6 linked regions of the Callithrix jacchus genome follow. The protein of the gene in region 2 interacts with the protein of the main gene of each other region in a pairwise test. Links are inferred from orthologs where the notes say so. Each region holds a gene or a part of one and is shown on either strand. Other genes may lie near its edges. The genes, in order: IYD, TRIM69, SF3A3, ASNS, NEK8 and MAGEA4.

The links.
Region 1: the proteins of TRIM69 (region 2) and IYD interact in binary tests that used the Homo sapiens proteins (3 or more experiments, as listed by UniProt). The two-hybrid records come from large-scale screens. The link is inferred for Callithrix jacchus from reciprocal best matches to the Homo sapiens genes TRIM69 and IYD.
Region 3: the proteins of TRIM69 (region 2) and SF3A3 interact in binary tests that used the Homo sapiens proteins (3 or more experiments, as listed by UniProt). The two-hybrid records come from large-scale screens. The link is inferred for Callithrix jacchus from reciprocal best matches to the Homo sapiens genes TRIM69 and SF3A3.
Region 4: the proteins of TRIM69 (region 2) and ASNS interact in binary tests that used the Homo sapiens proteins (3 or more experiments, as listed by UniProt). The two-hybrid records come from large-scale screens. The link is inferred for Callithrix jacchus from reciprocal best matches to the Homo sapiens genes TRIM69 and ASNS.
Region 5: the proteins of TRIM69 (region 2) and NEK8 interact in binary tests that used the Homo sapiens proteins (3 or more experiments, as listed by UniProt). The two-hybrid records come from large-scale screens. The link is inferred for Callithrix jacchus from reciprocal best matches to the Homo sapiens genes TRIM69 and NEK8.
Region 6: the proteins of TRIM69 (region 2) and MAGEA4 interact in binary tests that used the Homo sapiens proteins (3 or more experiments, as listed by UniProt). The two-hybrid records come from large-scale screens. The link is inferred for Callithrix jacchus from reciprocal best matches to the Homo sapiens genes TRIM69 and MAGEA4.

The regions. Positions count from the first base shown.
Region 1 is NC_133505.1:157,223,548-157,228,853, reverse strand, and holds the start of IYD (iodotyrosine deiodinase 1), read right to left. Parts: upstream 3,401-5,306; 5' UTR 3,382-3,400; coding exon 3,204-3,381; intron 1-3,203. UniProt on the Homo sapiens protein: Catalyzes the dehalogenation of halotyrosines such as 3-bromo-L-tyrosine, 3-chloro-L-tyrosine, 3-iodo-L-tyrosine and 3,5-diiodo-L-tyrosine.
Region 2 is NC_133509.1:32,468,395-32,472,913, reverse strand, and holds part of TRIM69 (E3 ubiquitin-protein ligase TRIM69), read right to left. Parts: intron 2,148-4,519; coding exon 1,914-2,147; intron 1,108-1,913; coding exon 1,085-1,107; intron 1,000-1,084; coding exon 875-999; intron 1-874.
Region 3 is NC_133508.1:74,555,852-74,560,370, forward strand, and holds part of SF3A3 (splicing factor 3A subunit 3), read right to left. Parts: intron 3,640-4,519; coding exon 3,567-3,639; intron 3,142-3,566; coding exon 3,050-3,141; intron 1,088-3,049; coding exon 1,005-1,087; intron 321-1,004; coding exon 182-320; intron 1-181. UniProt on the Homo sapiens protein: Component of the 17S U2 SnRNP complex of the spliceosome, a large ribonucleoprotein complex that removes introns from transcribed pre-mRNAs.
Region 4 is NC_133512.1:51,799,618-51,804,792, reverse strand, and holds the start of ASNS (asparagine synthetase [glutamine-hydrolyzing]), read right to left. Parts: upstream 3,260-5,175; 5' UTR 3,114-3,259; intron 2,571-3,113; exon of another isoform or gene 2,232-2,570; intron 804-2,231; exon of another isoform or gene 768-803; intron 679-767; 5' UTR 643-678; intron 32-642; 5' UTR 9-31; coding exon 1-8.
Region 5 is NC_133506.1:104,869,756-104,874,274, forward strand, and holds part of NEK8 (serine/threonine-protein kinase Nek8), read right to left. Parts: intron 4,307-4,519; coding exon 3,877-4,306; intron 3,795-3,876; coding exon 3,613-3,794; intron 3,515-3,612; coding exon 3,364-3,514; intron 2,944-3,363; coding exon 2,867-2,943; intron 2,527-2,866; coding exon 2,409-2,526; intron 390-2,408; coding exon 239-389; intron 110-238; coding exon 1-109. UniProt on the Homo sapiens protein: Required for renal tubular integrity. May regulate local cytoskeletal structure in kidney tubule epithelial cells. May regulate ciliary biogenesis through targeting of proteins to the cilia.
Region 6 is NC_133524.1:148,211,657-148,216,635, reverse strand, and holds the start of MAGEA4 (melanoma-associated antigen 4), read right to left. Parts: upstream 3,538-4,979; 5' UTR 2,491-3,537; coding exon 2,420-2,490; exon of another isoform or gene 804-2,419; intron 1-803. UniProt on the Homo sapiens protein: Regulates cell proliferation through the inhibition of cell cycle arrest at the G1 phase. Also negatively regulates p53-mediated apoptosis.

The sequences.
Region 1 (5,306 bases), on a different chromosome or scaffold from region 2:
TTAAAAATGGTTTGAATCTGGTATCTATTTGCAGTCAGCAGCACCATCTCCATGTGTCTTCAGTAAAGGAGTCTGTTCTCTTCTCCAGTTAGCCCCTGCTCAATCCCTTCTGGACCTAGAGTAAGATCCCCACATAGACCATGTCTACCTGCCCTGTGACTGAGAGCAGGGGCTTGGGGGCCTGAAAGCCTGCGTTTAAGCACTGGTTCTCACCAGTCACCTGTGTGACCTTAGCATGCACTACTTATGTAAACAATGTAAGAGAGGTGGAGTAAATCATTTCATCTTCAAAACGATACAACAAGGTAGGCACTATTAGATTCCCCATACAAGAGATCTGTGGATGACACACACAGGCCAGACTTTGCCCCAGCTGCTAAAGAAGACACTAAGGCTGTCCCATTCATTCTTCTGTATAAAGAGAAGAGAAGAATGAGGCTGGCATGATGTAATCCCAGGAATTTGGGAAGCTGAGGCCAGCAAATTGCCTGAGCTCAGGAATTCACGACCAGCTAGGCAACATGGTGAAACCCCATCTCTACTAAAATACAAAAAAAAATTAGCCAGGTGGGTGGCATGTGCCTGCAGTCCCAGCTATTTGAGAGGCTGAGGCAGGAGAATTGCTTGAACCCAGGAGGCAGAGGTTGCAGTGAGCCGAGATCACTCCACTGCACTCCAGCCTGGGTGACAGAGGAAGACTCTGTCTCAAAAAAAAAAAAAAAAAAGAAAAGAAAAAGAAACAAAGAGAGAGAGAGAGAGAAGGATAAGGATGAAAAGGAACAGAGAATGAAGAGGCAACACATTTTGCAGAAGTTAGTAATCACGCAGAGAACCAGAGAAAGGCCCTTTAATCCTGCTCTATGTTCTCAGCCTCCAGGTCCAGCCCCAGGACCTGACCCTCAACAGACTGCCCAAGCTCTTGTGTCCTCAAACCTCATAGGTATTCAAATCTAGTGGCCTTTCCTCAATGCACACTCTTGCTAGGCTCTGAGAGAATGTTTTCCCCTGCTGGCTGTCTCCTGCCTCCTCCATTCTAGGTCATTCTCCCAGGGGAGAGGCAGCCAGCAAACAGCTACGTGTCTGGACCCTGAAGCCAGACTGCTTGGGTCCCGTTTCTGCAATCACCTGCCTGGGCTTACCCTATTCGGGCCTCAGTTTCCTTATCTATAATATGGGGATTCTAATAGTGCCTACCTCGTTGCTCTGTCATGAAGATGAAATGATTGACTGCACATAAAATGTGGCTCTCATTAATATACATAAGTAAGTGCTATTAATATACATAAGGGCGTGTTATTGTTACAATCCCAGAGCCCCGTTTCCCACAGCTTCTTCCTTTCTCTAGTACATTTCTCTTCCACAGTTCCTCTTAACTGCAGGTGTCCCCTAAGTTCTATTCCCACCCTTCTCTCTAGCAATGCCCACTTTGTGAATTCATTAGTTCTCCAGGTTCCAAGTCTCTTCCCCATACTGCTGACTCTCCAATCAGTGTCTGTGGCCTGGGCCCCTAACCTAGGCTGCTCTCTCCCTTTTCTGCTCAGATGTGTCACTGTCATCTCAAATCAAACATGTCCTCAATGGAACTCAACATTTTCCTCTTTAAGCAGGATCCTCATTCTCCCACCCACTTATGACACCATCCCAGCCTCCAACTCTCCCACTCTCCTCCTTTTCCCACCATCCAACCTATTAGCAAACCCTGCTGCTCTTCCATTAACTTCACTCTGATCCATCCCTTCCACTGCATTCCCACTGCCCCCACATCCGGGCCATCCTTCCCAGCACAAACCATTACCCAGCTTCACAACACATGTCCCCTTGATTAAGGAAAGTGCTTCTTCACTGGGCCGAATTGGCATTCTGAGTGGAAGAGCTTTCAATTCCAGAGAATAAGAGGAGCCCTGCTGAGAGGCTGGACCTCTAAGAGGTGCATTCAGCCCTACAGGATCCTAGCACTGAGGACCAGCTGGACACCCTTTGTCCCAGTCCTGAGATTAGGACACACACTCACACACTCATGCTCACACACACTCATGCATGCTCACACACACATGCACACTCACATTCCCACTCACATACTCACACTTGCACACACATACAGTTGTGCACACACACACGCACATTCATGAACACTCAAATGCACATGCATGCACACACACACACATACACTCAAGCATACACACTCTTATGGACAGACACACATGCACATTCATGAACACTCACACATACATTCACACACACATGTCCAGGTGGCCTCTGTTTGGGAATGGGGACATCATTCGCCCAGCTGAGGATCATGGAGGCTCTTCCAAATTGAACCCATCCCAGACAAAGCTTCTCAGACACAGATGGCTCAAGCCTCCTCCATAGTCTCTCCCTTACTACCTGCCTCCTTCATCCTCCTCCACAGTCTCTCCCTTACTACCAGCCTCCTTCATTAACTCTTGATGAAGGAGGCAGGTAGCTCTTGCCCTCAGTTCACTACTTCCGTTCTTACCCTCCCCCTGCCCTTGGTTCTCCACTTCCTCTCTTATCCCCGTTCCAGGCCTCCCGCTGCTTTTGCTCCTTTTGCCCCTTGTTGCCTGACAGGCCTCTCAGCACTTGCTGTTTGTTCCCAACCCGGTTTGTCCTTTCCCTGACTGCACCATCAAATTCCCAGGCCTGCTCCAAACACCTCAGAATTAGTTCCACCGGGTCTGTCTCTTTGTTACTGTCTCTGATTCTCATGCATCATCGTGGCAGCTGAATTGGACATTCAGTTTGTTGAGAACAGAGACCACCCCAGTCTTTCACTTCCAGGGTCTGGCAAGGGAAAGGTAGCAGCCTCCTAGGTGATGCCACTTGGTAGATTTCAGTTTCTGATCAAAACCCGGTCACTTTGCCCCCTGCCCACTACCAGCCTGGGATGAATCCCTGCAGGAAGGTTTTAACAACCAGAACAGAATTGGAGCCAGGGAAAATTTCAGCTTCTCAACAGCTTTTTCACTGAGCATCCAAAATAAAAAAAGGTTGGTGCCAGCAGGTGACAAGCTCATTACTGGCGCGAGATGATCTGTCTGTGCCAGGCACTGATTCATTAGCACACTAGAAGTTGATGCTGAAGCTGGTCTGTGTTTCTTCCTCTCCATAAGCCCTGCCGTTGACTCACACTCATCAGCAACACACATGACAGCAAAGCTAAGCAGCATAGCCAGTGTCTTTACCTTCTTCTGCTTGGTGCAGGTCAGTGCTGTCTTTTAAGTCTTCATCCACCCAGGGGCGAGCCTCGGCCCTGGTTGTAGCCTCCCCCTTCTTTTTCTCCATGCTTCTATTAGCATTTTTAAAGATCCACACAACCAAAATGCAGAGAATGGCTACCAAGACGGGAGTCAAGAAAAACATGGTTCGGAGTCTGATGCACAGGGGTGCACACTTCCCACACTGGTTTTTAAACACACAGAGATAGAAACAGAGAATGCCGGGAGATGGAAGGAATGCAGAGAGAGCTGTGCCAGGGAAGGAACAAAGTGCAGAACTCTTTAACTCTATGAGGACTTTGCCAAGGAACAAAGATCACAGTCCCATGTGTGGGGTGTTGTGGCTTTGGTCATGCACCAGGGCATTCACTTTTTAAAATTACATACTCAAGCACCATCTTCTTAGGCAGCAATGCCAGAATCTGAGTAAGAACTTGCACATGCCAGATCTAGCTGGATCACGCCACCAAATCAGATCTGCTGGAAGAAAATGTTCAAAAAAGAGGTTTGGTAAAATTCATTTTAAATAGCATGTTTGTGAAACGCAGCCCTAGGGTTTTGATTTTTTTTAAATGATACGTGAGCCAATATATGAAATAAGGAGAATATCATGTTTTGCAGCAGAGAAAAGCTTTGATCTAGGAAATGTGACACAAAAAAATTAAAGTGACAACTTCATTATTTATATAATAACTTCAGTAAGGCTTTTTGTTTGTTTGTTTGTCTGTTTTAGTAAATGCCTTAGTCAATTACGGCTGAAGTAACAAACATACTGTGGATCTGGTGGCTTAAACAACAGAAGTTTATTTCTTGGCCTGGCATGGTGGCTCATGTCTGTAATCCTAGCACTTCGGGAGGCAGAAGGGGGCAGATCACTTGAGTCAGGAATTGGAGACCAGCCTGGCCAACCTGTTGAAACCCCTTCTCTACTAAAAATACAAAAATTAGCCAGGCATGGTAGCAGGCACCTGTAATTTCAGCTACTCAGGAGGCTAAGGCAGGAGAACAGCTTGAACCTGGGAGGCAAAGGTTGCAATGAATCAAGATTGTGTCACTGTACTCCAGCCTGGGTGACAAGAGCAAAACTCCCTCAGAAACAAAAAAGGAAGGAAGGAAGGAAGGAGGGAAGGAAGGAATGAAAAAAGAAAGAAATAAAGAAAGAGAGAGAGAGAAAGAAAGAAAGAATAAATAAATAAATAAATAAATAAATTTATCATAGTTCTGTAAATTGAGAAGTCCAGAATCAAGGTGCTGGAAAATTAGCTCCTGGTGAGGGCTCTCCTTCTGGTCTGCCGACAGGTACCTTCTTACTGTAACCTCACATGGTGGAGAGTGGAGACAGATCATCTCTCTCTTCTCGTTTCTTATAAGGCCACTCATCTCATTAATAAGGGCTCCACTCTCATCACCTGTTCACCTCCCAAAGGCCCAACCTCCAATACCATTATACTGGGGGTTAGGGCTCCAACATATCAATTTTTATTAAACACATTCAGTCTTTAGCATCAAAGTACAAAAGTATGTATAATACGATGCCATTTGAATAAAAAAAGTAGAAAATATGACACATTTATACAAGCCTGTATATGTATAACATTTCCTGGAAGAGTATACTCTAAACTTTAAAGAGTTGTTATATCAGGAATTCTCTTTATTAATTTTTCAATTTCTTGTGAGTCTATATTATTTCAAAATAAAGGGTTACAAGAACAGTGGTTACTTGTTTTGGAGCGAGTGTGGAAACTGGATAGATGGGGGACAAGAGTGAGAGAATTTCTACTGAATACTATTCCATAATTTCAGAATTTTGAGCTGTTGTAAATATATTAGCTATTTTTATAAATGAATATATGTTATTTATTTCAACAGTCATTTTGATGGTTTTGTTTTATTATGCATTGTAATACTCCTTTTCGTGATAGACAGCTGTTTTTTAAAATGTATGTCATACTGGTTCTCTAATGCCAGAGAACTCTGTAAAAGATTAGAAGTAAAGTTTGTTATGGAAGCATCAGGCTCCACAGACCATTGATTTGATGGTGCTGCCTGCCATGCTGACAACTTTTGTAC
Region 2 (4,519 bases):
AACTTCTGGGAGTGATAGAATTTTCTATATTTTGATTATGGAGATGTTTACCTAAGTGTATATATTTATCAGAACTCATCAAATTGTGCCCTTAAAAATTGGTGACTTTTACTCTATGTTAACTATATCTCAGTAAAGTTGATTTTTTTCAATGTCAATTACCTGGAAAAATTTGTGATTTTTTATTAAATCAGGGACGTATTTATGATTAGTCATTAAATCAATAACCCCAAACAATAATAATAATGATGTCTATGAATTCTATAAAAACTATTTAGAATTTTATTTATATAAAGATTTTTATTTAGAACTTTATCTTGAAATGCCATGTGTATTATTTTGTCTTGCTCAGTCCTTTGGTATCTGCAGGAACACAAAAACTTAGTGTCCTTTTTAGGTACATTTATTGAAATTATTGGTTTTCTTCTGAAGCACTGAAAATCTAAACAGTCTTCTAAAATGCTCTTTGCAATAATCAAGCACAAAAGAAACTATAAAGACCCAGTGTACATACAAAGAGCATGTAAGAAACCTCCTTCTTCAGAGCAGAGAAACCCCAGGGATCCATATAGCTGATTTAGCAAAGCAACATAAAATTTTGTCTGTTGCCATATTTCATAAAACAGTCAAACAAAATCATAGGCTAAGAAGCAATCCTGATATCAAACTCTTATCTGTTAATCAGCACAAAATCATAAATTCTTAGGTCATGACACTAGAAGAAATTCAGTCATACCAACTAGTCTCCTTTTGTCCAAACTCTACCCCTCCACTATCACAGACTGTAAAAACCTAATTAGGGCCACAGAAAAGATCCCACAGATTAAACATAGATTAGGAGCCCCAAGAACCAACAGTTACTACCCACTGATACCTGGAGAGAGAGTGTCGTGCATTTCCCTCCATACCATGTACTGGATAGGACCTTTGTACTGGCCCGGGTTCAGATTTCTGGAAATAAGCTCTCTTGTTGCCAGCACGCTCATTCCTTGCTTCAAGCTGCAGGGGACATAAATCATTTATCCTTAGACATCCTCCAGAGACTCAAGGAAGGATATTGAGAGTACCATAGGAAAGCACTTACCTATCTAAGAGAGGTACAATGTCCTAGAAGAAAGGAGAAAGAGAGACATCAGATGCCTGTTCATCAGCTCCCAAACTTCCTTTGGTAATACTAGCCACCACCAGGATTTGTGCAGATGGTCCCCAACTTATCATCTCTCCCAGCTTCTTATTCTTCACACACTTTTTCTAATCTTCATCCCTGATCCTAACCCAGGTTAAACTGGTCTTTTGCTTTTCTAGAGTTCCCTCTACAGGGAGCAAGACAGAAGCCAATAGTACAACACTTAAGGTTAAGCTATCTTTACCTATACTTTCAAATAGTCTCAGAGGAAAAACACAGTAAGTATTCCAGTCCCAAGGCCACTTTTCCTTACTGTAGCTAATTAAACTTCTGAATGCTGAGATGGTAACCAATGTCGCTTTAGAGGTGAAGCTTAAGAAAGCAAAGGATAAAAAAAAAAAAAAAAGAAAGCAAAGGATACAAAACAGCTTTTCAGACCAGTCAACTTATGATTACTGAGAGCCAGAGATACAATTCATGCTGCAACATTTTTATTTTTCAGAAATAAAGTGTCAGGCTCTTGATGGAAAAATATTAAACTATTAATATATACTATTATTAATGGGATTTTAAAATCTTATTTCCTAGAGGATAAAAGTAAAGCTTTTGCTGTGCATATAGCTGAAGTGCCTTCCTGCTTTTCTTCCAGAGAATCTTAGAAGCACTATAGCAATTTTGTTTCCTTTTGTTTTCCCTTACTGGGAAAAGCCACTTCTGCATTCTTTCCAAACCTCTTCCCCCATCTAGGTAGGAAGGTACCCATAATCATATTGGTATAGATTCTCACTTTGAGAAAGTCGAAGGAGTTCTGTTCTTCCATCTTTGCCTGAATGCTCACCAACATATCCTTGGCTAGGACACATTGCTTCTGAAGGTGGCTCAGATTCAGCTCCATCTCCTCATTTAAGGCTTTCCCCTCTTCCTGGAGTTCAGTTAAAATATTCTCTTCTTTGCTGTCTAGGAACTTATGCAGCTTTAGAAACTCCGTGGACACATGTTGCTGCAGATATAGCTCGTTTTCCTGGAAACCTCCATGATTATTACCATGGTTATTATAGAGACTAGTGCTTGGGGATGGGGAACCCACACCACCAACACTCACACACTTGGGAAAAACCATTACAGAAAAAATGCATACAACTGTCTACTGATAATCAAATTCAACCACATTAAAATGAGTCCTTTGGGAGACTTACTCCTTTTCCAACTAATTTAATAGTTCAGGGTGAAATAGTCAAAAGTAGCCTCTAGGTTCCTATTGCAATAATGAGATGGTAACCAGGGCCATATTAAATAGGGCTGTGAAGTTCATCGAACATTCTAGAATGGATGATAACAGTCTCCTAGATTGGTAAACCATTAGCTGCCAAGTGGTACTATTAGACTGGGGTCATTGGGAGTCTGGAAGAACTATCCTTACCTAGAAATCAGAACTGGGGGAATGCCACTCCTGCTACAAGGACAATATAAAAGAAGCACTTCAGATGTTTCTGAAGTGCCGAAATTGATAACTGGTACACTTATAGCTTTTTTCTTGAGTGACCTCAACATCCTCACAGGTAAACCATTTGGTGTCCTGGCTTCTCAGTTCCTCATTCTCCTCATTTCTAGTGATTTTCACCTTTATTGATTCATTCCCGTAGTCTCACAAAGGATTTTATCACCCCCAGCAATTGCATCATCTCCAAAATAACTTTTTATGCACCAAGCTCACTCAGAGACCCCTATTTCAACAATTATTGGATCTCATTGAAACCTCCTGTTCACCAACCCCTTCATTTCTATTCAGGAACTTCTACCTTCATGTCTTCTCTTATCTAGCTTGGATTCCATGGTCCATAATTATTATTGCACCCTTAAGATAGTCTTGGCTGGGCTCACACCTGTAATTCCAGCACTTTGGGAAGCCAAGCTAGGAGGATTGCTTGAACAGGAGTTCAAGACTGGGCAACATACTGAGACCCAATCTCTCCAAAAATAAAATAATTAGCCAGGTATGGCACACTAGTCCCAGACACTCAGAAGGTTGAGGTGGGAAGATCTCTTGAGCCCAAGAGTTTGAAGTTACAGTGAGCCCATATCCACCTCTTCAATATCATCTTGCTTAGCAAGTTCCAGCTTTATTGGCCTTTTCTCTATTTAACATAGCAGCTAACTTTCTGTCTCAGGACTTTTTCATATGCTCTTTTCTATTCCTAGAACATTCTTCTCCAGGCCACCTCCTTCATATTCTCACTCACCCAGTTCACTTCACTAAGTTACTTATCATTCAATTCCCAATTTTTAGTAAGTGACTTCTTCAGAGAACTTTTGTGGACCAATCATAAGAATAACCAGAAGCCCGATGGTGACAGACTGCTTTCTCCCAGCACGGCCTCCTGTTTCCTCCCTCTCGTGTCCCTCCAGGGAAAATGGCTTTATTGCTTATTTTCCAATGCACTTTTGGGCCTTTTTTTTAATAGCTGGAAAAAACAAAATACCACTCCACAAACCTGTATTTAAAAAGAAACGGAAACAACCAAGTGAAATTTGCCTCTGTCCAGACATTTCACTCGTGTGTGTGTGTCTGTGTGTGGGTGTGCAAAGCCACATTCATCTTTTTATATGGGGTTGTTGTCTCATTTCGGTCTGTGTTGGTCCCCTCCCTCGTGGGCTTGTGCTTGGGATCAAACCTTTCTGGCCTGTTATGATTCTGAACATTTGACTTGAACCGCAATTGATTAAAAGTATAATTTTTACCTGGAAAACAAAAAAGTCAGTCTAGACTATGTTCTCCATTTATATGCTCTCATCATACCCTATGCTTTCATTATAGTGCTTATCACAGTTGTTATTTTATTTATACTGATGAGTTTGATTAACATCTGTCTCCCAACCCCAGTCTCTAGTATTATGCTTGACCCACTCAATAAATAGTTGTTAAATGAATGAATGAATGAATGTTGACACTAATAGGAACTTTTACAACAGGAACAAGATTCCCTAAAGACATCATTACTTCCACATATCCTCCTTCTTTCCCTGACTCTACATATTTCTTCTTCCAGATGGTAAATACCTGAAAGGCTCTTCTCCATAGAATAATTAATAAAGAAACAGAACTTCCAATTTAGCACTGCCAATTTAGGGGCTGATTTGCGAAATCTGTAGCCATTAGTGTTGTCTTAGAGTGCCTATGAAGTTGAAAGTGCAGACAATAGCTTTATTTAGTTTGGAGGAAGCTAAGAAGGATCAAATCAGATGGAAAAAGCTTACAACCATAGAGACACAGGTCTAGAGGTTTCTGGTTATAAACTCAAAAGAAAGAAGGGTATTTCTTTGGACATAGCAATCTTTAGTGATTTTTTTTCTGGTAAATTCCTTCTTTTGCCATATATAAACCCAAAAACCAGA
Region 3 (4,519 bases), on a different chromosome or scaffold from region 2:
TGATAATCTTGCTCCAAAGTACACACAGAAAAACCTAGCATACTCGGCAGGGAATACCTCATGGTCACAAATGATACCAAGGAATTGATACCTAATGCCCTAAAGTGGAAGCTCAAGATAAAGGAAAATAATCAGTTCAATTCCCTGGCATGTCCACCATTCACACCCCACTGTAGCTCACCGGCCATCCAGGAAAGGTCCCATTCTCCCATTTCTTCTCAAACTCAGCCTGAATCTTCCCAAAAAGTTCATTCTGATCTTGGAGAGGCTTCACTCTATCCGTGTAATCCTGAAGGTACTCAAGCAGCATCTCTAGGTATCTACAGAGGAACACGTAACAAAGAGAAAGCAAAAAGGGTTTATATTTTTGGTATCTTGTTATATTCCCTGTAGAATAAATAGTACTTATAATTCTAGTAATAGTATTTTTTAATAATCATTTTTAAATGAACCTATAACGGACTTTTTTCTTGACATATCATTTTGATTCTGACCTTTCCTACCTCCTTTTATTCTCATGAAATAATGCTAATCTCGCACAGAAAATATTTCAGGAAAATGAAAATAAGAAAAAGAGAGAAAGGGTATAAAATCACTAATAAGGGGAGCAACTAACAAAAACATACATTTTTCACTTATACATCATACCCAAGCATCTCACTCCAGTCACAATCTGAGAAAGTCTAATTTTTTTCCCATTAAACTCCAAAAACACAGAAGTCCCAGAGTGGGAGAGTTCCTTCTACAGTGAGACAAAATTAAGAACAGTATGGGCATAAGATAGAAGATATGTCCACAGATACACCCTTGCCCACAACCAGAGTATCTCGAAGGTTTTAAAACCACATCATTTATAATCCTTAGCCTCCAATAAACCTTCATGTATGAAGGAAGTACGCCTTCATGTATGCCTTCCAAGCAACTAATTCGTAACTTCACCCTCAAAACCTTCACACTGTCTTCTAATCAAATCCAGGAGAGGCATAGAAGCTCTTAACACCTACCTCTTATATTCTGCATTCTTCCTTTCTTTAGGAATGTCAAATAATTGGTCAAAAATGGACAGGTATGTGATATAATCCAGCTTCTGAAAAGAGGAAAGAAATGATACAAAATTTAGTTAGGTATTTATACTGGAACAAGTTATAACCTCCTAAGTGAGATCAAAATTGAGTGTTTTCTAACAAGGTAACAAGGGCTGGCCATTTTGGTTTTTTTGCTTTCCCATAATTCAATCCTACTACAATTTGGAGTGTTAATTTCACTGGACCGTAAAATATCAGACATAATTAACTTTACAAAATAAAGTAGGAATATATCAGACATAACTAACTTTACAAAATAAACATATCAGGCAAATATCAGACATAATTAACTTTACAAAATAAAGATCACATTAATAAACAGTAAACTAAAGGAAACATTTGTTGATCATTACCTCATGCTGGGCTCTTGGTTAAAGACTCTAATATCCTAAAGTAAGGTCCTGAAAGTTGCCATTTACTCACACACGTAACCACTTATTGAGCATCTTTGTACCAAGTACAGGGTATAGAAGACAACAAAACAGACAAGGGACCTGACCTGCCCCCATGGAACTTCAAGTTTGGGCACTGTACTTCTGGGACATTTCCTCACAACTCCATGAAGAATCTAATCATGTATTTCCTGGTGACTCTTCTGATATTGTCATATTAAACCTCATCTCTTGTGATAAGCTATGTTTAAACATCTTTAAGAAAAGACATTAATGTGATAAGCTATGTTTAAACATCTTTAAGAAAAGACATTAAATAGCTTTTTGCTGACAGAAAGATCAAGTTGTTTTATCTTCCACGTACCTAAAACAGGAACGTGATAATTATTTTTAAAAATAAGAATTTTAGGCCAGGCACAGTGGCTCACGCCTGTAATCCCAGCACTTTGGGAGGCCAAGGTGGGCGAATCACAAGGTCAAGAGATCGAGACCATCCTGGCCATGGTGAAACCCCGTCTCTACTAAAAATACAAAAAATTAGCCGGGCGTGGTGGCACGCACCTGTGGTCCCAGCTACTCGGGAGGCTGAGGCGGAAAAATCACTTGAACCCAGGCGAAGGTTGCAGTGAGCCAAGATTGACTGCGCCACTGCACTCCAGCCTGGCGCCTGGTGACAGAGGGAAACTCTGTCTCAGAAAAAAAAAAAAAAAAAAAAAAAGAAAGAAAAACAAACAAACCCTATCTCAAAAAAAAAAAAAACAAAACTTGTTGTATTGATAATGGGCTGGGCACAATGGCTCATGCCTGTAATTCCAACACTGTGGGAGGCCGAAAAAGGAGAATCACTTGAGGTGAGGAGTTTGAGACCAGACTGGGCAACACTGCAAAACCCCATCTTTACAAAAAAAAAAAAAAAAAAAAAAAACCTAGCCAAGTGTGGTGGTAGTCTCAGTCTCAATTACTCAGAAGGCTGAGCCCAGAAGTGGAGGTTGCAGTGAGCAAAGATCACACCATTGCATTACAGACTGGACAACATGGTAAGACCCCATCTCAAAATAAAAAAATACTATTTATTGGCCGGGCGTGGTGGCTCAAGCCTGTAATCCCAGCACTTTGGGAGGCCAAGGCAGGTGGATCACTAGGTCAAGAGATCGAGACCATCCTGGTCAACATGATGAAACCCCGTCTCTACTAAAAATCAAAAAATTAGCTGGGCATGGTAGCACGTGCCTGTAATCCCAGCTACTCAGGAGGCTGAGGCGGGAGAATTGCTTGAACCCAGGAGGCTGAGGGTGCGGTGAGCCGAGATCGCGCCATTGTACTCAAGCCTGGGTAACAAGAGCGAAACTCCATCTCAAAAAAAATAAAATAAAAATAAAATTTATTAATAAATGTTTTCACTGTAGAAAATTTTCATTTTGAATAGTATTTCATTATCACCTCTTTGATATTATTTACATAACAGTTTGAAAACACAAGACACTCTACAATGGCTTCACGTCTAGCAGTCCCAGCCTAGTGTCCTGACTTACCTCTAGAATCAGAATCTCTCTCTCCTCTCCCAGGTCTTACCTCAGATGCCTTCAGGTTAATGTACTTGAGGTAACAATCATGGAGATCAAGGTAACGACCATATCCCTCTTCATCTGTGAACTCCACCAAGTCTGAGGGAATCAAATACATCAATGATTCAGATTCTACAGACCACTCTCTTGAACTTACCTTTTCAAATGGACTGCTTGTTCCTAGTTTCTTGAGGCAGCATGTCACCCAAATATCCTCCCTGTGCTCACAATATAACCTCCAATAAGTGAGATCAAAAGTGAGTGTTCTCTTACAAGGTAACATGGGCTGACTCATTTTAGTATTGTGAACTAAAGTGAATAATGCTTGGCTTTCCAAGCCAGTAAATTTTAGGTAGGAGAGAACAAAAGAAACATTTTGCCCAAGACCAATTTAGAATGTCACTCTAGCCCAGAAAGCAGCAAAGACAAAACCAACAAGAAAACCTGGTTATCAATATCTGAGGCCATGGCTGCATGACCTGTAACTGCTGCTGGTGTTGAATGAAATGTTCACCTCTACTCACTTTGTGCCTCTTCACTTGGATTCTCTCGAGCCTTCAGGAGCTCTTCAAATTCCACTGACATTGGCACACAGATCTGAAGGGAAAAGTGAAAGCTCAGGTGGATTTTTCTTTCTTTCTCTTTTTTTTTTTTTGACACAGAGTTTCACTCGTTACCCAGGCTGGAGTGCAATGGCATGATCTTGGCTCACCGCAACCTCCACCTCCTGGGTTCAGGCAATTCTCCTGCCTCAGCCTCCTGAGTAGCTGGGATTACAGGCCCCTGCCACCATGCCCAGCTAATTTTTTGTATTTTTAGTAGAGACGGGGTTTCTCCATGTTGACCAGGATGGTATCAACCTCATGATCCACCCGCCTCAGCCTCCCAAAGTGCTGGGATTACAGGCGTGAGCCACCGCGCCCGGCCCTCATTTTTTTTGTTTTTTGAGATGGACTCTCGCTCTGTTGCCCAGGCTGGAGTGCAGTGGCACAATCTTGGCTTACTGCAGCCTCCATCTCCTGGGTTCAAGCGATTCTCCTGCCTCAGCCACCCAAGTAGCTGAGATTACAGGCACTCCACCACACCTGACTAATTCTTATATTTTTAGTAGAGACAGGTTTTTGCCATGTTGCCCAGGCTGGTCTCAAACTCCTAAGCTCCAGTGATCTGCCTGTCTCAGCCTCCCGAAGTGCTGAGATTACAGGCATGAGCCACCACGCCCAGCCTCAGGTAGAATTTTCAATGTAAAAGTTACAAGATCACAGAAATGAAGTACACAGAAAGTTGGACTTCTGATGCTATATATGGCCTTGATTTTTCACTAAGAGTCTACCCAGAACAGTAGTTCTTCAATTACCTTGTTCTCCCCTCACTTTTATACTGCTTGAGTAAAACTCACTAAAGTAACATATGCTCAGAAAACCTCAAACAATACAAAAAGAAAAAACAAAAGTCCACCTTTATTAATTATCCTCGG
Region 4 (5,175 bases), on a different chromosome or scaffold from region 2:
CCACACATGGTGCAATGAAACTATAAGCTCTCTATGGAGAGAAAAGCAGACAAATCAAAAATATTCAATATCCAATCCAAGTCTGCATTAAATCTTGATTCCAGAAACGTGTATAAACCACTTCAAAGACTAAAATGTAAACCACCTTTTCTATTGCTATTTCCCATTAGGTTGACAGGCCCATGGGAGTAGAGAATGATTGAATTTACCTACAAGTATTCAGAAAAGATAGTGACCTCTATATCCAACCAGCTACAGCAGCTTAGCACCCAGCCAAAGCCTGCATCTCTCCCACCTTAGTGGTTGGCTAGAGCTAGCAACATCCAGGCCACATCTATTTCTGCAATCGAAGTTTGCTTCCAAGATACAGAAACAAATGCAGGCTGGCTCCTACCTAGCCAGAGATCCCAGCCCCACTCTCTCCATCCCAAAATCCCTCAAAGATCCAAGAGACTTTCAGATTACTAGAGTCTCCTCTCAGGTTCCCTTGACAGTTAAATACCCTCTCTTTACTTGAAGTAGCTGCAGGTAGAATACAATGAGTAGAACAGAAAATCATACTGCTGTAATACTAGGATTACTATCTGTAATATTAAGATGCACAGCTCTTTTAAGCATTTCAGTATATTACACCTAGCTTACCTCTAAATGATGTATTCAGATGTTACCGAAGAAAGTCTAAAGGAAAAAAAAAACTACAGATTACTATCTGTAATACTAAGATGCACAGCTCTTTTAAGCATTTCACTATATTATATCTAGTTTACCTCTAAATGATGTATCCAGATGTTATTGAAGAAAGTCTAAAGGGGAAATAAAAGGAATTTAATTTGATATCAGATATCCTGGCTTTATAACAAGTAAAACATTTTAGGTTGACAGAAGATACAAAATGTTTGCTATCAAAATATCCTAACAGAAAAAAATGTCCTCAAATATTTCTGTCTCAAAGTTTAATGTTCAGTAAGGAAACAAAGTAGATAGGACATATACAGCAGCAACAGCCCTAAAAAAAAACTTGGCTCTTCCCTATAAGCCAGGAAGCAAATAAATCACCCTTACATACATTAATTATTTTCCAATTTCAAATTCTCAACTGTGAAATAAAGGGCTGTTTTATTTGACTACTACCAGCTCAAAATGGCCATTTTTATTAAAACATCTCTAACTTAAAAAAAATAACAATTTTGATATTTTCTTTTTAAAAACTGCAAATAGCAGTAAATGCCCAGATAATTTGGGATAGGCACCCTAAGGAAAAAATACATATTCAAATTACGTAAGTCACTTTGAGGATATTTCATTTTTATCTAAATGAACCAAAGGTTTGGCTGGCTTTTCCAGAAAACCAGAACCAAATAATACATGGTTATAATGAAAATCATCTCAAGCAATTTGGAAATGAAATGCCACACATCCTACACTGTCCCTTCCATGCACTTGACCAAATAGCCTATAACAAATTCTTTACTTTCAGATTTAGTGGGAAAACTCCACGAGATTTAAATGGGATGACTACTAATAAGTCATCTGCCTTTGACTATATACCAATTAAAAATGGGTTAGGAAAGCGCTTTGAAAATCAAAAGTGGTCATCACAGAATACACTGCTTGTGAATATTAAGCCTGCTAACCACTAATTGGAGGGGAAAGGGGGAGAACAAAGAGGCATGTAAAGTACACTTATTTTTTTCTAGTGGGAAAAAGCCAATTAAAACTATAACTTATTTTTTATTGGAATCAGTCTTAGAGGAGGGCAAAGTTCCTACTGCTGCTGCTACCTGTTCTCAATATTTTTCTTTTTTCTTCGTAAACTTCTAGAGCAGTGCTATCCAATAATTATGTGAGCCACATATGTAATTTTAAATATACTAGTAGCCCCATTAAAAGAAAAAGGTGAAATTAATTTTAAACATACTTAATATATCCCAAATAGTATCACTTTAACATGTAATCAATATAAAAACTTATCGAGCTATTTTACACTGTTCTTCCTACTCCAACGACAAAATCCATTGTATTTAACACAACACATCTCAGTTCGGACCAGCCAGCATTTCATGTGCTCAACAGTTACAGGTGGCTAGCGCCTACCGAATTGGACACTGCAGTTTCAGTACATTTCATTTCTATTCCACTTAGTGCTACTTAAAACTTCACCCTCTCAACTTACTTTTATGTTAAGATCTCAGTAAGCAACCAACTATAGAAAGGTTCAAGCCCTACTTTACCTCTAATTACTCTTTCAGTAATGCGATGAATCACGATTTACAAAAAACGAAAAAAGAAAAAAAAACACTGCTGTTAAATTATCAGCCAAGCGCCCAGAGTAATGGACAGTAAAGAAATAATGTAGGCCACAGGCCGAGATGAAAACTGTCCTTTTATTTAAAGCTTTAACAATAACCTGAAGTCAGCCCTGTAAAATAGACATCCATTGAAACAGGCATGCTAGTCCTTTTGCCTTTTTCTGTACTTGGCCTTCTGTGTCCCTAAACAGACTGCCTCTCGGCCGAGTTTGCTCAGCAAGTCACTTGTCAAGTCTTGCAGTCTACAGAGGCGTGGTGACTGGAGGGGAGATGGGGTGAGAGGGGAGGAGGCATGGTGAGGGAGGCCAGGTGAGGAGCAGGGCAGTTGAAAGGGAAAGCACAGTTTCTCCTTCCTAGATCAGAACCACGCACACGCGACTGCGCCCCGGCCACATGGAGGCTCCAACCCGCTCTTCCGCAGCGGTCCTGGACCGGGAAAATGTCCACGGGCTTCAATGCCACATAGTAAAAAAAAAAAAAAAAAAAAAAAAAAAAAGTACACATATAACATCTACAGGGGCTCAGGTCGCCGCTCCCTCTACGGAGCGGCCCAGTCTTCCGGCCGCGGTTCCCTTGATGCCTCAGGGATCAAGACACAGAGGTTCTTCTGCACCGGCTTGCCGCTAGGTGCGCAACAATCGCTAGGCGTCCACCCCACCCTCTCTACTGCCAGAGACGCAGCATCAGCCGACCCGAAGCGCGTCCGTCCGCCGGGTGCCAGGCGACAGAGCGCATCCTCCTCCCCCAGGGCAGCCCCAGAGCCCCCGAGGAGGGTGCTGCGCGGGGCGCGGGGCCCCGTCTCACCTGGGCGCAAGCGGGTCAGGGCGATGCGGGCTGCGGACGCCAGGTCTGCGGACGCCAGGTCTGCGGACGGCGTGCCGGGCGGGGTATGGCGTGCCGGGCGGAGGAGCTACCGGCGCTTATACTGGTCTGGCTCCTGTAATGCGTATGGGAAATTTCATCAGCCGGCGAGAACCAACCAGCGCGCGCAGGGGCGGGGCCCACGGGGCTGCCGGGCGGGTGCGGACTAAGCCAGGACGGCGAGAATGCTCCAGGAGGAGTTCTTTTGTTTCCGGTGCGTCAGTTTAAGGATAGCTTCAGAGATCTGCCCAGGTTACCTGCTGTTCTAACCACCAGGGAGTCTTCTGCACATGGTTTGTTCTAGGGAAATCATCTCCGTTTTCCGTTGCACTACCGTCTGATTTATTATGAATTGCAGAGAAAAGCTTGCCCTAAGAAACTGATGGGTAAGGCCTAAAATGTCCTTATAAAATCTATTAATAAATCGGAGGGCCAGGCGAAATGGCTCACGCCTGTAACCCTAACACTTTGGGAGGCCAAGACAAGAGGATCACTTGAAACCAGGAGTTCAAGGCTAGCCTAGGAAACACAGTGAGATCACATCTCTACAAAAAATGGTGGCACACCCTTGTAGTCCCAGCAACTCAGGAGGCTGAGGTAGACGGAGAGCTTGAGGCTGTGGTGAGCTGTACTCCAGCCTGGGCAACAAAGTGGGACCCCCATCTCTAAAACAAAATAAAATCTAAATCTAATTGATACGTGAAGCCAAAATATATCAGTGGTTCTTAAACATTTTAAGTACAAAGATTCCTTGTAGAATCTCAAAAAAGAATTTTGTCAACGTGCCTCCACAAGACGATGATGTGCTTTTAAGTATCACTTTTATGAAAAGACATCATGATTAAAAATATATATAACACTCTTAAATCGCATTTTACTAATTACATCAGCACCAAAATAAATTGAGAAATAGTAAAATTATATGTGCACCACCTACTAAGATCAGACTACAGTCAATGTGTGGAAAGCATGCAGGTTTGATATTCCCATACAATGCATTCCTGACTAAATCAAAAATGCCAACAATATAAAATCCCTAAGCACTGAAGATGGAGTAGATGCTTAGCAGTTACAGGCAAGAGCAAAGATGAGCGATGACTTGTTCTCAGGTTCATTCTTGCTGGAAAGTTTTCAGCATCAAACAGACTTTGCTGTATCCTAATTGATGCATTTTTAACCTGAAAGCAATGAGGGAAAGTAGGTCTTCTGTCTACATTTTACAAATGAAAAAATAAGACTCAGAGAAGCTGAGGGATTTATCCAAACACAGCTTCACAACAGCAAAGAACTGAGCCATAATCTGTGTAAACCCAGAGCCCATGTCCCATAGCACGTAGCCTGTGTAGTGGAAGACAGGTTCCCCTACTTGATGTGTTATCTAGTGTGGTTCGTTGTGCTGCGTATCTCCTGCTTGTCCCTCCAGAGCACCACTCTTCTCTACCTCACTTTCTGTCCTCGCTCCCTTGCCCTCCTCTTTCAGGGAGAGTGGCCAAAAAAAGACATTTCAAGGAGATACAAAAGGGATGGAGTAGTCTCATTTACCCACCTGGCTCCCTGACCTCAAAGCTTTTCTCCTGAAGGCCACAGCTTCTGTGGACTGACCCTTCCCACACCTCCTTTCTTCACATTCCGGAACTGCTCCCTATCTAGCTACGCTATCACAATGCTACTTCCTTTCTCACTGTAGGATCTGCTAAAACAAAAAGTGAGGCTGGGTGCAGTGGTTCATGCCTATAAATCCAGCACTTTGGGAGGCTAAGGCAAGAGGGTGGCTTGAGGCTAGCAGTTCAAGACCAGCCTGGGAAACATAGTGAGACCCACCCCCCAATCTCTGGTCTAACACACATACACACACACACAAATTAAATTTTAAAAGTGTTTTAATTTTAAAACAATTTTAGTAGTGAAATATTGTTTCACTATTAAATTTCACAATTTTAGTAGTAAAATTATTGTAATGAAATATTGTTTCACTACTATTTCACAATTTTAGTAGTGAAATTAT
Region 5 (4,519 bases), on a different chromosome or scaffold from region 2:
CAGGGAGAGATGGTCCAGGCCCAGCTTGTTGAATCTGAGGGCAGAGCCAGAAGCTAAATCCATCCGATAGTTTGGGCAGGAGCTGGTGCACCAGAAGACAGATCCCACCCTGTGTTGAACCAATAGCACCCTCAGCCCCCTCAATTCTGGTCTTTGGTGAGAGGTAGGCAATGATGGATGGAGCACTGGCAGCCAAGGAGAGCTAGGGACAGATTAGTCATCCCGATGACCTAGTCACCTGTTGCTTCCACAGGCCAGGGCTTGGCCAGGCACAGTGAGGATCATGGAGGAGTCGATGCCACATACAACTCGCTGAGCTTCCTGTCCCAGGGGCATGGGCACCTGCTGGGGGCAGCTGTGGGACTCCCTGGTGCCTAGTCCCAGTCTCCCTGTAAGAAGAAGCCCAGAAGGGGTTAATTTGAGCTTTAGCAGGGGGTGATGCCAGGATGAGGAGGGCCCACTGAGGGGAGGGAACGGCGTGAGTTTTCTGTTCTCTCAGCCCAAGATGCCTTTCCTAGGACTTTCTGCTGGTTGAAATCCTCCTTTATTTTTTATTCCTTCCTTCTTTATTTTGAGACAGTCTCACTCTGTTGCCAAGCTGGAGTGCAATGGTATGATCTCAGCTTACTACAACCTCCAACTCCTTGGTTCAAGTGATTCTCCTGCCTCGGCCTCCAGAGCAGCTGGGATTACAGGCATGCGCCACCATGCCCAGCTAATTATTTTTTATTTTTAATAGAGATGGGGTTTCACCATGTTGGCCAGGATGGTCTAGATCTCATGACCTCATGATCTGCCTGCCTCAGACTCCTAAAGTGCTGAGATTAAAGGTGTGAGCACCACGCCCAGCCTGTTCTTTATTTTTATTTTTTGAGACCGAGTCTCACTGTCACCCAGGCTGGAGTGCAATGGCAAGATCTCAGCTCGCTGCAACCTCCAGCTCCTGGGTTCAAGTGATTCTCCTGCCTCAGCCTCCTGAGTAGCTGAGATTACAGACATCCACCACAATGCCTGGCTAATTTTTTATATTTTTAGTAGAGACAAGGTTTCTCCATGTTGGCCAGGCTGGACTTGAACTCTTGACCTCAGGTGATCTGCCTGCCTCAGCCTCCCAAAGTGCTGGGATTATAGGTGTCAGCCACAGCACCTGGCCAAAATCCTCCTTTAAAGCCCTGTTCAGGTGCCATCTCTCTCCTCCAGTTGACATCACTGTTCACTGAGTTCCACACCTCTGCACCTGGTATGTAGCCCTGATGCTATCTGTTCTCTGGCATGCTGGAGACGTCATCTTTCCCCAACTAGACTGAGTCCTCCAGGAAGACAGGAACCCATCAATGTCATCTCTAGTTTCAGTGCCCACCCTGATGCCTGACCCAAAGGGACCTCAATAAAAATCGGTATGGCTGGGTGTGGTGGCTCACGCCTGTAATCCAAGCATTTTGGAGGCCAAGGCTGGCAGATCACCTGAGTTCGGGAGTTCAAGACCAGCCTGACCAACATGGTGAAACCCCGTCTTTATATTAAATAAATAAATAAATAAATAAAGATAGGTAGATGGCTGGGCACAGTGGCTCACACCTGTAATCTCAGCACTTTGGGAGGCCAAGGTGGGTGGATCATGAGGCCAGGAGTTTGAGACCAGTCTGGCCAAGATGGTGAAACCCTGTCTCTACTAAAAATACAAAAATTAGTCGGGCGTGGTCACAGGCACCTATAGTTTTTTTTTTTTTTTTTTTGAGATGGAGTTTCGCTCTTGTTACCCAGGCTGGAGTGCAATGGCGCGATCTCGGCTTACCACAACCTCCGCCTCCTGGGTTCAAGCAGTTCTCCTGCCTCAGCCTCCCGAGTAGCTGGGATTACAGGCGCACGCCACCATGCCAGCTAATTTTTGTATTTTTAGTAGAGACGGGGTTTCACCATGTTGACCAGGATGGTCTCGATTTCTTAACCTCGTGATCCACCCGCCTCAGCCTCCCAAAGTGCTGGGATTATAGGCGTGAGCCACCGTGCCCGGCCCACAGGCACTTATAATCCCAGCTACTCGGGAGGCTGAGGCAGAGAATCGCTTGAACCCAGGTGGCAGAGGTTGCAGTGAGCCGAGATTGTGCTACTGTGCTCCAGCCTGGGCGAAGAAGTGAGATTCTGTCTCAAAAAAAAAAAAAAAAAAAGGTAGATGAATGAAATTTCCTTCATTACATCATAAACACCTGAAGGAAGCCACATATGCATCTCATCTCATCACTAGCACAGGGTGTGCACATAGTTGGTGTAAAATAAAGATTTGCTGAATGAATGAAGAGAATTTGAGAGAAAAGAGGGAGGAGATAATGGGCTGTGGGATGGAAGTATGAAGGGGAACAAGTCATGGCTGAGGATACTGTGAGATGAGACTAGAGGCTGGAGCTTACCCCCATCTCCACGGCCCCACGCAAATAGTTCTCGCTCAGTGGACAAGGCCAGCACGTGAGAGGCCCCACAGGCCACCTGCACCATCTCATAGCCAAGCAAGGCCTCCACAATGGTGGGCTAAAGAGGAGAGGAAGTAAGGAGAGACTGGGCAAAGGGTCTAGACTAACCATCTGGCCTCAACACCCCCTGTAGGGACAAAGCTGGAGGCTGCGCATTCTCCGGAGGTGGCTGTGTCTTTAACTCTAGCCACACGCACTGCCAAGTGGGCAACCACTGGGGCAGCCTGGTCTTTCTGTACTTCCCCTGATGTAGGCGGCGTAGAGCAGGTGCAGCCGGGAAGCTAGAGGAACCTGTGGCTGCTGGGAACTCCCCTGTCCCCAATCTGGTGTCAGCTCTCAGATGTGGGCTCCCTGCCATCCCCTAACTTCCCCCTCCCCAGGGTACATGTGATACCCACCTGGCTGATGTCAGTGAGGCTGCCATGGCCTAGGCACCCATTGCTGCCACTGCCAAAGGTCATGATGATGCCTCGGTCTGGGGAGGAGGGCCGTGAGGAAGGAGAAGGAAGAGAAGTTAAGCAGTCATTCCAGATAGCCCTGTCCACCAGGGGGTTGCAGCAACAAAATAAAGTTGGGGACCAGGGCTGGAAAGATGGGATAGGAAGAGAGGAAGGATAGGAGTCTCTTCAAATGTATATGACTTTGGACAAGTGACACCCTCTCTGAGCCTTAATGTCCCCACTTGTCAAATGAGGATACTATAACTGTTTTGGCAGGCCTGTCCATAGGATCAAGGAGGTAGTGTAAGGAAATCTCCTCAACACTTACTAGAAAGAAGCAATAGCTTGATGACTAGTGAAAGCATTCGTTAAGTAAATGGTTTGCAAGAGAAGAGAGACAGTGCTCTGTGGGGCCTTATAGAAGGTCCCCACCCCGAGGTAGGCCCAAGTCTCACCCGTCAGGCAGGCGGTGAAGAAGTCCCCGCAGGCCACGTGCTTGATGGTCACGCCTGACTGGCCCTCCAGGAAGCGCGAGATGAACTGGGGCTGTGGCTGCTCCACTGCCCCAGGAAGGAGGGTGCCTCCGCCTGCACCTAGGGGTGGGGCCTACAGGGGCGGGAGGATGGGCAGTGCCTGAGCACCCCAACCCTTCTGTGGACCTACACTTCCACCTGTCCAGGCCACCTCCCCACTGGCCTGCTCACCTCCCACAGGATGAGACGCCCAGAGCGTGTGATGCCAGCTTTCTGCGTACGCCCAGCTGCCACCTGGACCACCTCTGTGTTGAGCATTGGCAGCCGCAGGGGGGTGCCCAGCCCACCACCCCAGGTGTACACTGACGACAGTGGTGGTGGGATGGCTGGCCTCACAGGTCCCCGGGGGACACCTGTGGGTACAGTGCATGGGGACTATTAAACTGATGTGAATGGTGTGCCATCTATGGGGACTGACGGCTTCTTCCCACTTACCTCTGCAGCGGACACTGGTGGTCCTGCTCCCTGTGCTGCCAGGGGTCACAGACTTCTCCACCCTGCGGGACAGACGGGGGCCTAAGAACAAAGACTCTCCTGACATTCCTACCTGCAGGGAGGGAGGACTCACCCAGGTGCCCCTCTGCCCCAGGCCTCCTGTGCTCCCATTGGGTGCCCACACCCTGCTGCCCAGGATCGCTTGCTCTCCCTGCACAGGCCTCCGCATGCGGACACTGCCCACGTCGGTGTGGAGGTTGAGGAGGGCACGAATGCAGAGGGGCTGTGCCATGATGTGGCTGAGTGGGGGCCGCTGGGCAGGCTCCAGGCTGAGTAGACTCAGGACCAGCTGGCGCAGCTCGGGGCTGTACCGGTCAGAGATGGGTGCAAAGGTGCCGCTCATGATCTTCAGCACCAGGGCTGGCAGGTTCTGTGAGGGCACCAGGTTGGGAAGTTGGTGAAGTGAGGGCAGCGCCCCCCAGCCCCAACCCCTGGTCTCCTGGGATAACAGCTTTGCCCTCAGGAGACTTCAGTCTGATGAGGTGATTCCCAGACCGCTAGGGGAGTCCAACCTGGCTTTCAGTGACCCCTAGTCTGACAGGGGAGCTACAGCTATGTCTCAGAAGCCCCAGGATGCTGGGAA
Region 6 (4,979 bases), on a different chromosome or scaffold from region 2:
GCGGGGCATAGGGATGGCAATGCGGGACACTCATCACTCTGCTGCGATCCTGACATTGATTCCTGGCAGAACCTACCCCCACCAGTCTTGCATTGACCACCCCAAACTCTGACTCCCAAGTTCCTTGTGGCTTAAACGGCAGTGGGGGTGGTGCCCCTCCCCTACTCAGAAGTCCACCCACTGGTGGCCCAGGGCTGGCAGCAGGAGTGGTAAGGGATTATTTGGGGTCATCTATCTGGGGTGGGGACCTCCTGAGTCCTCCCTCAGCATCTCACCTTGCCTCGTAACAGCCCTGCCCGCTTCGCTCCATCAATCCCAAACTGCTGGTCCTACCAAGAACCCGGGCTTCTCTCTAACACCCCCGCCCCATGCACAAGTCAGTAGCATCACATCCGGGCACCTGGGAGTGACTGGGTGAAACCAAACGCTGCGTGGATGGGGCTGGGGGTATGAGATTATGAGGTTGGTAGGGGCTGGAGAGAATAGGGGTAATGGTGGGAAATGGGAGGGTGGATGGGAATAAGAATGGGTTGGGAGATGGGGACGGATGTGGGACTCTGAGCCCTCTCCTGGGATCCCCACGTTGATTCCTGGCAGAGCCTACCCCCACCAGTCTTGCACTCACCAGCTCAAACTCTGACTCCCGAGTTCCCTGTGGCTTAAACCGCAGTGGGGGTGGTGCCCCTCCCCCACACAGAAGTCCACCCATGGGTGGCCCAGGAGTGGCAGCAGGAATCGTACGGGACAATTTGGGGTCATCAATCTGGGGTAAGGACCTCCTGAGTCCTCCCTCAGCATCTCACCTTGCCTCCTAACAGAACTTTGCCAGCTTCTCTCTGCCAATCTCAAGCTGCTGGTCATACCAAGAACCGCGCTTCTCTCTAACACCCCCGCTCCGTGTGCAAGCCCGTAGCATCACATCCGGGCACTTGGGTGTGACGGGGTGAAACTGGATGCTGCGTGGATGGGCGTCTGTGTTGGGTTGGGGAATTGGAATTATGAGGTTGGTAGGGGCTGAAGAGAATATGGGTACTGGTGGGGAATGGGAGGGTGGATGGGAATAAGAATGGGCTGTGGATGCGGTTGGAAATGGGGGAGGCTCAACCCTCTCCTGGGATCCCCACGTTAATTCCTGGCAGAGCCTACCCCCACCGGTCTTGCATTGACCAACCCAAACACTGACTCCCGAGTCCCCTGTGGGTTAAACGGCAGTGGGGTTGGTGCCCCTCCCCACTCAGAAGTCCACCCACAGGTAGCCCAGAGCTGGCAGAGGGAGTGCTAATGGATTATTTGGGGTCGTCTATCTGGAACGGGAACCTCTTGCGTCCCTCCCTCAGCGTCTCACCTTGCCTCCTAACAGAGCCTTGCCCGCTTCCCTCCCCCAATCCCAAGCTGCTGGTGAGACCAAGAACCGCGCTTCTCTCTAACCCGCCCCCCACGCGCAAGTCAGTGACGTCACATCCGGGCACCTGGGTGTGACTGGGTGGAACCGGATGCTGCGTGGTTGGGGGTGGGGGATTGGGATTATGAGGTTGGTAGGGGCTGGAGAGGATAAGGGTACTGGTGCGGGATGGGAAGGTGGATAGGAATAAGAATGGGTTGGGGGATGGGGACGGATGTGGGACTCTGAGCTCTCTCCTCGGATCCCCACGTTGATTCCTGGCAAAGACTACCCCCACCAGTCTTGCATTTACCATGCCAAGCTCTTTGAGTCCCGAGTCCCCTGTGGCTTCAATGGGGGTGGTGCCCCTCCCCCACTCAGAAGTCCACCCACGGTGGCCCAGAGCTGGCAGCAATAGTGCTAATGTATTACTTGGGGTCCTCTATCTGGGGAGGGGACCTCCTGCTTCCTCCCTCAGCGTCTCAACTTACCTCCTAACAGAGCCTTGCCCGCTTCCCTCCGTCAATCCCGAGCTGCTGGTCTGACCTAGAACCGCGCTTCTCTCTAACCCGCCCCCCACGCGCAAGTCAGTGGCGTCACATCCGGGCACCTGGGTGTGACTGGCTGGAACCGGATGCTGCGTGGTTGGGGGTGGGGGAATGGGATTATGACGTTGGTAGGGGCTGGAGAGAATGGGGGTACTGGTGCGGGATGGGAGAGTGGATGGGAATAAGAATGGGTTGGGGAATGGGGACAGAATGGGGGACTCGGAGCCCTCTCCTAAGATCCTGAAGTTAATTCCTGGCCGAGCCTACCCCCACCAGTCTTGCATTGACCACGCCAAACCCTTTGAGTCCCGAGTCCCCTGTGGCTTAAACGGCACTCTGACTGGTCCCCTCCCCCACGCAGAAGTCCACCCACGGGTGGCCCAGGGCAGCCAGCAGGAGTGGTAAGGGATTATTTGGGGTCCTCTATCTAAGGTGGGGAGCTACTGAGTCCTCCCTCAGCGTCTCGCCTTGCTTCTTAACAGAGCCTTACCCGCTTCTCTCCGTCAACCCCGAGCTGCTGGTCGGACCAAGAACCACGCTTCTCTCTAATCCACCCCCCATGCGCAAGTCAGTGGCGTCACATCCGGGCACCTGGGTGGAACCGGATGCTGCGTGGTTGGGGGTGGGGGAATGGGATTATGAGGTTAGTAGGGGCTGGAGAGAATGGGGGTACTGGTGCGGGATGGGAGGGTGGATGGGAATAAGAATGGGTTGGGGAATGGGGACAGAATGGGGGACTCGGAGCCCTCTCCTAAGATCCTGAAGTTAATTCCTGGCCGAGCCTACCCCCACCAGTCTTGCATTGACCAAGCCAAACCCTTTGAGTCCCGAGTCCCCTGTGGCTTAAACGGCACTCTGACTGGTCCCCTCCCCCACGCAGAAGTCCACCCACGGGTGGCCCAGGGCAGCCAGCAGGAGTGGTAAGGGATTATTTGGGGTCCTCTATCTAAGGTGGGGAGCTACTGAGTCCTCCCTCAGCGTCTCGCCTTGCTTCTTAACAGAGCCTTACCCGCTTCTCTCCGTCAACCCCGAGCTGCTGGTCGGACCAAGAACCACGCTTCTCTCTAATCCACCCCCCATGCGCAAGTCAGTGGCGTCACATCCGGGCACCTGGGTGGAACCGGATGCTGCGTGGTTGGGGGTGGGGGAATGGGATTATGAGGTTAGTAGGGGCTGGAGAGAATGGGGGTACTGGTGCGGGATGGGAGGGTGGATGGGAATAAGAATGGGTTGGGGAATGGGGACAGAATGGGGGACTCGGAGCCCTCTCCTAAGATCCTGAAGTTAATTCCTGGCCGAGCCTACCCCCACCAGTCTTGCATTGACCAAGCCAAACCCTTTGAGTCCCGAGTCCCCTGTGGCTTAAACGGCACTCTGACTGGTCCCCTCCCCCACGCAGAAGTCCACCCACGGGTGGCCCAGGGCAGCCAGCAGGAGTGGTAAGGGATTATTTGGGGTCCTCTATCTAAGGTGGGGAGCTACTGAGTCCTCCCTCAGCGTCTCGCCTTGCTTCTTAACAGAGCCTTACCTGCTTCTCTCCGTCAACCCCGAGCTGCTGGTCGGACCAAGAACCACGCTTCTCTCTAATCCACCCCCCATGCGCAAGTCAGTGGCGTCACATCCGGGCACCTGGGTGGAACCGGATGCTGCGTGGTTGGGGGTGGGAGAAATGGGATTATGAGGTTAGTAGGGGCTGGAGAGAATGGGGGTACTGGTGCGGGATGGGAGGGTGGATGGGAATAAGAATGGGTTGGGGAATGGGGACAGAATGGGGGACTCGGAGCCCTCTCCTAAGATCCTGAAGTTAATTCCTGGCCGAGCCTACCCCCACCAGTCTTGCATTGACCACGCCAAACCCTTTGAGTCCCGAGTCCCCTGTGGCTTAAACGGCACTCTGACTGGTCCCCTCCCCCACACAGAAGTCCACCCACGGGTGGCCCAGGGCAGCCAGCAGGAGTGGTAAGGGATTATTTGGGGTCCTCTATCTAAGGTGGGGAGCTACTGAGTCCTCCCTCAGCGTCTCGCCTTGCTTCCTAACAGCGCCTTGCCCGCTTCTCTCCGTCAACCCCGAGCTGCTGGTCGGACCAAGAACCACGCTTCTCTCTAATCCACCCTCCATGCGCAAGTCAGTGGCGTCACATCCGGGCACCTGGGTGGAACCGGATGCTGCGTGGTTGCGGGTGGGGGAATGGGATTATGACGTTGGTAGGGGCTGGAGAGAATGGGGTTACTGGTGCGGGATGGGAGGGTGGATGGGAATAAAAATGGGTTGGGGAATGGAGACGGAATGGGGGACTCAGAGCCCTCTCCTGGGATCCTGCAGTTAATTCATGGCAGAGCCTATCCCCACCAATCTTGCACTGACTACGCCAAGCCCTTTGAGTCCCGAGACCCCTGTGACTCCAACCACAGTGGCCGTGGTGCCCATCCCCCACTCAGAAGTCCAGCCACGGGTGGCCCAGAGCTGGCAGCAGAGTTGTAATGGATTATTTGGCGTCATCTATCTCGCGTGGGGAGCTCCTGAGTCCTCCCTCAGCGTCTCAGCATTCCTCCTAACAGTGCCTTGCCCGCTTGCCTCCCCCAATCCCGAGCTGCTGGTCAGACCAAGAACCGCGCTTCTCTCTAACCCGCCGCCCATGCGCAAGTCAGTGGCGTCACATCTGGGCGTGACTGGGTGGAACCGGATCCGGCGTGGTTGGGGGTGGGGGTATTGGGGTGGCGGAATGGGTTTATGAGGTTGGTAGGAGCTTGAGAGAATGGGGGTATTGGTGCGGGATGGGAGGGTGGATGGGAATAAGAATGGGTTGGAGAAAGGGGATGGGAATGGGGGACTCAGAGCCCTCTCCTGGGATCCCCACGTTAATTCCTGGCACAGCCTACCCCACCAGTCTTGCATTGACCACGCCAAGTTCTTTGAGTCCCGAGTCCCCTGTGGCTTCAACGGCAGTAGGGGTGGTGCCCCTCCCCCACTAAGCAGTCCACCCACGGGTGGCCGAGGGCTGGCAGCCGGAGTGGTAAGAGATTATTTGGAGTCGTCTACCGGGGAAGGG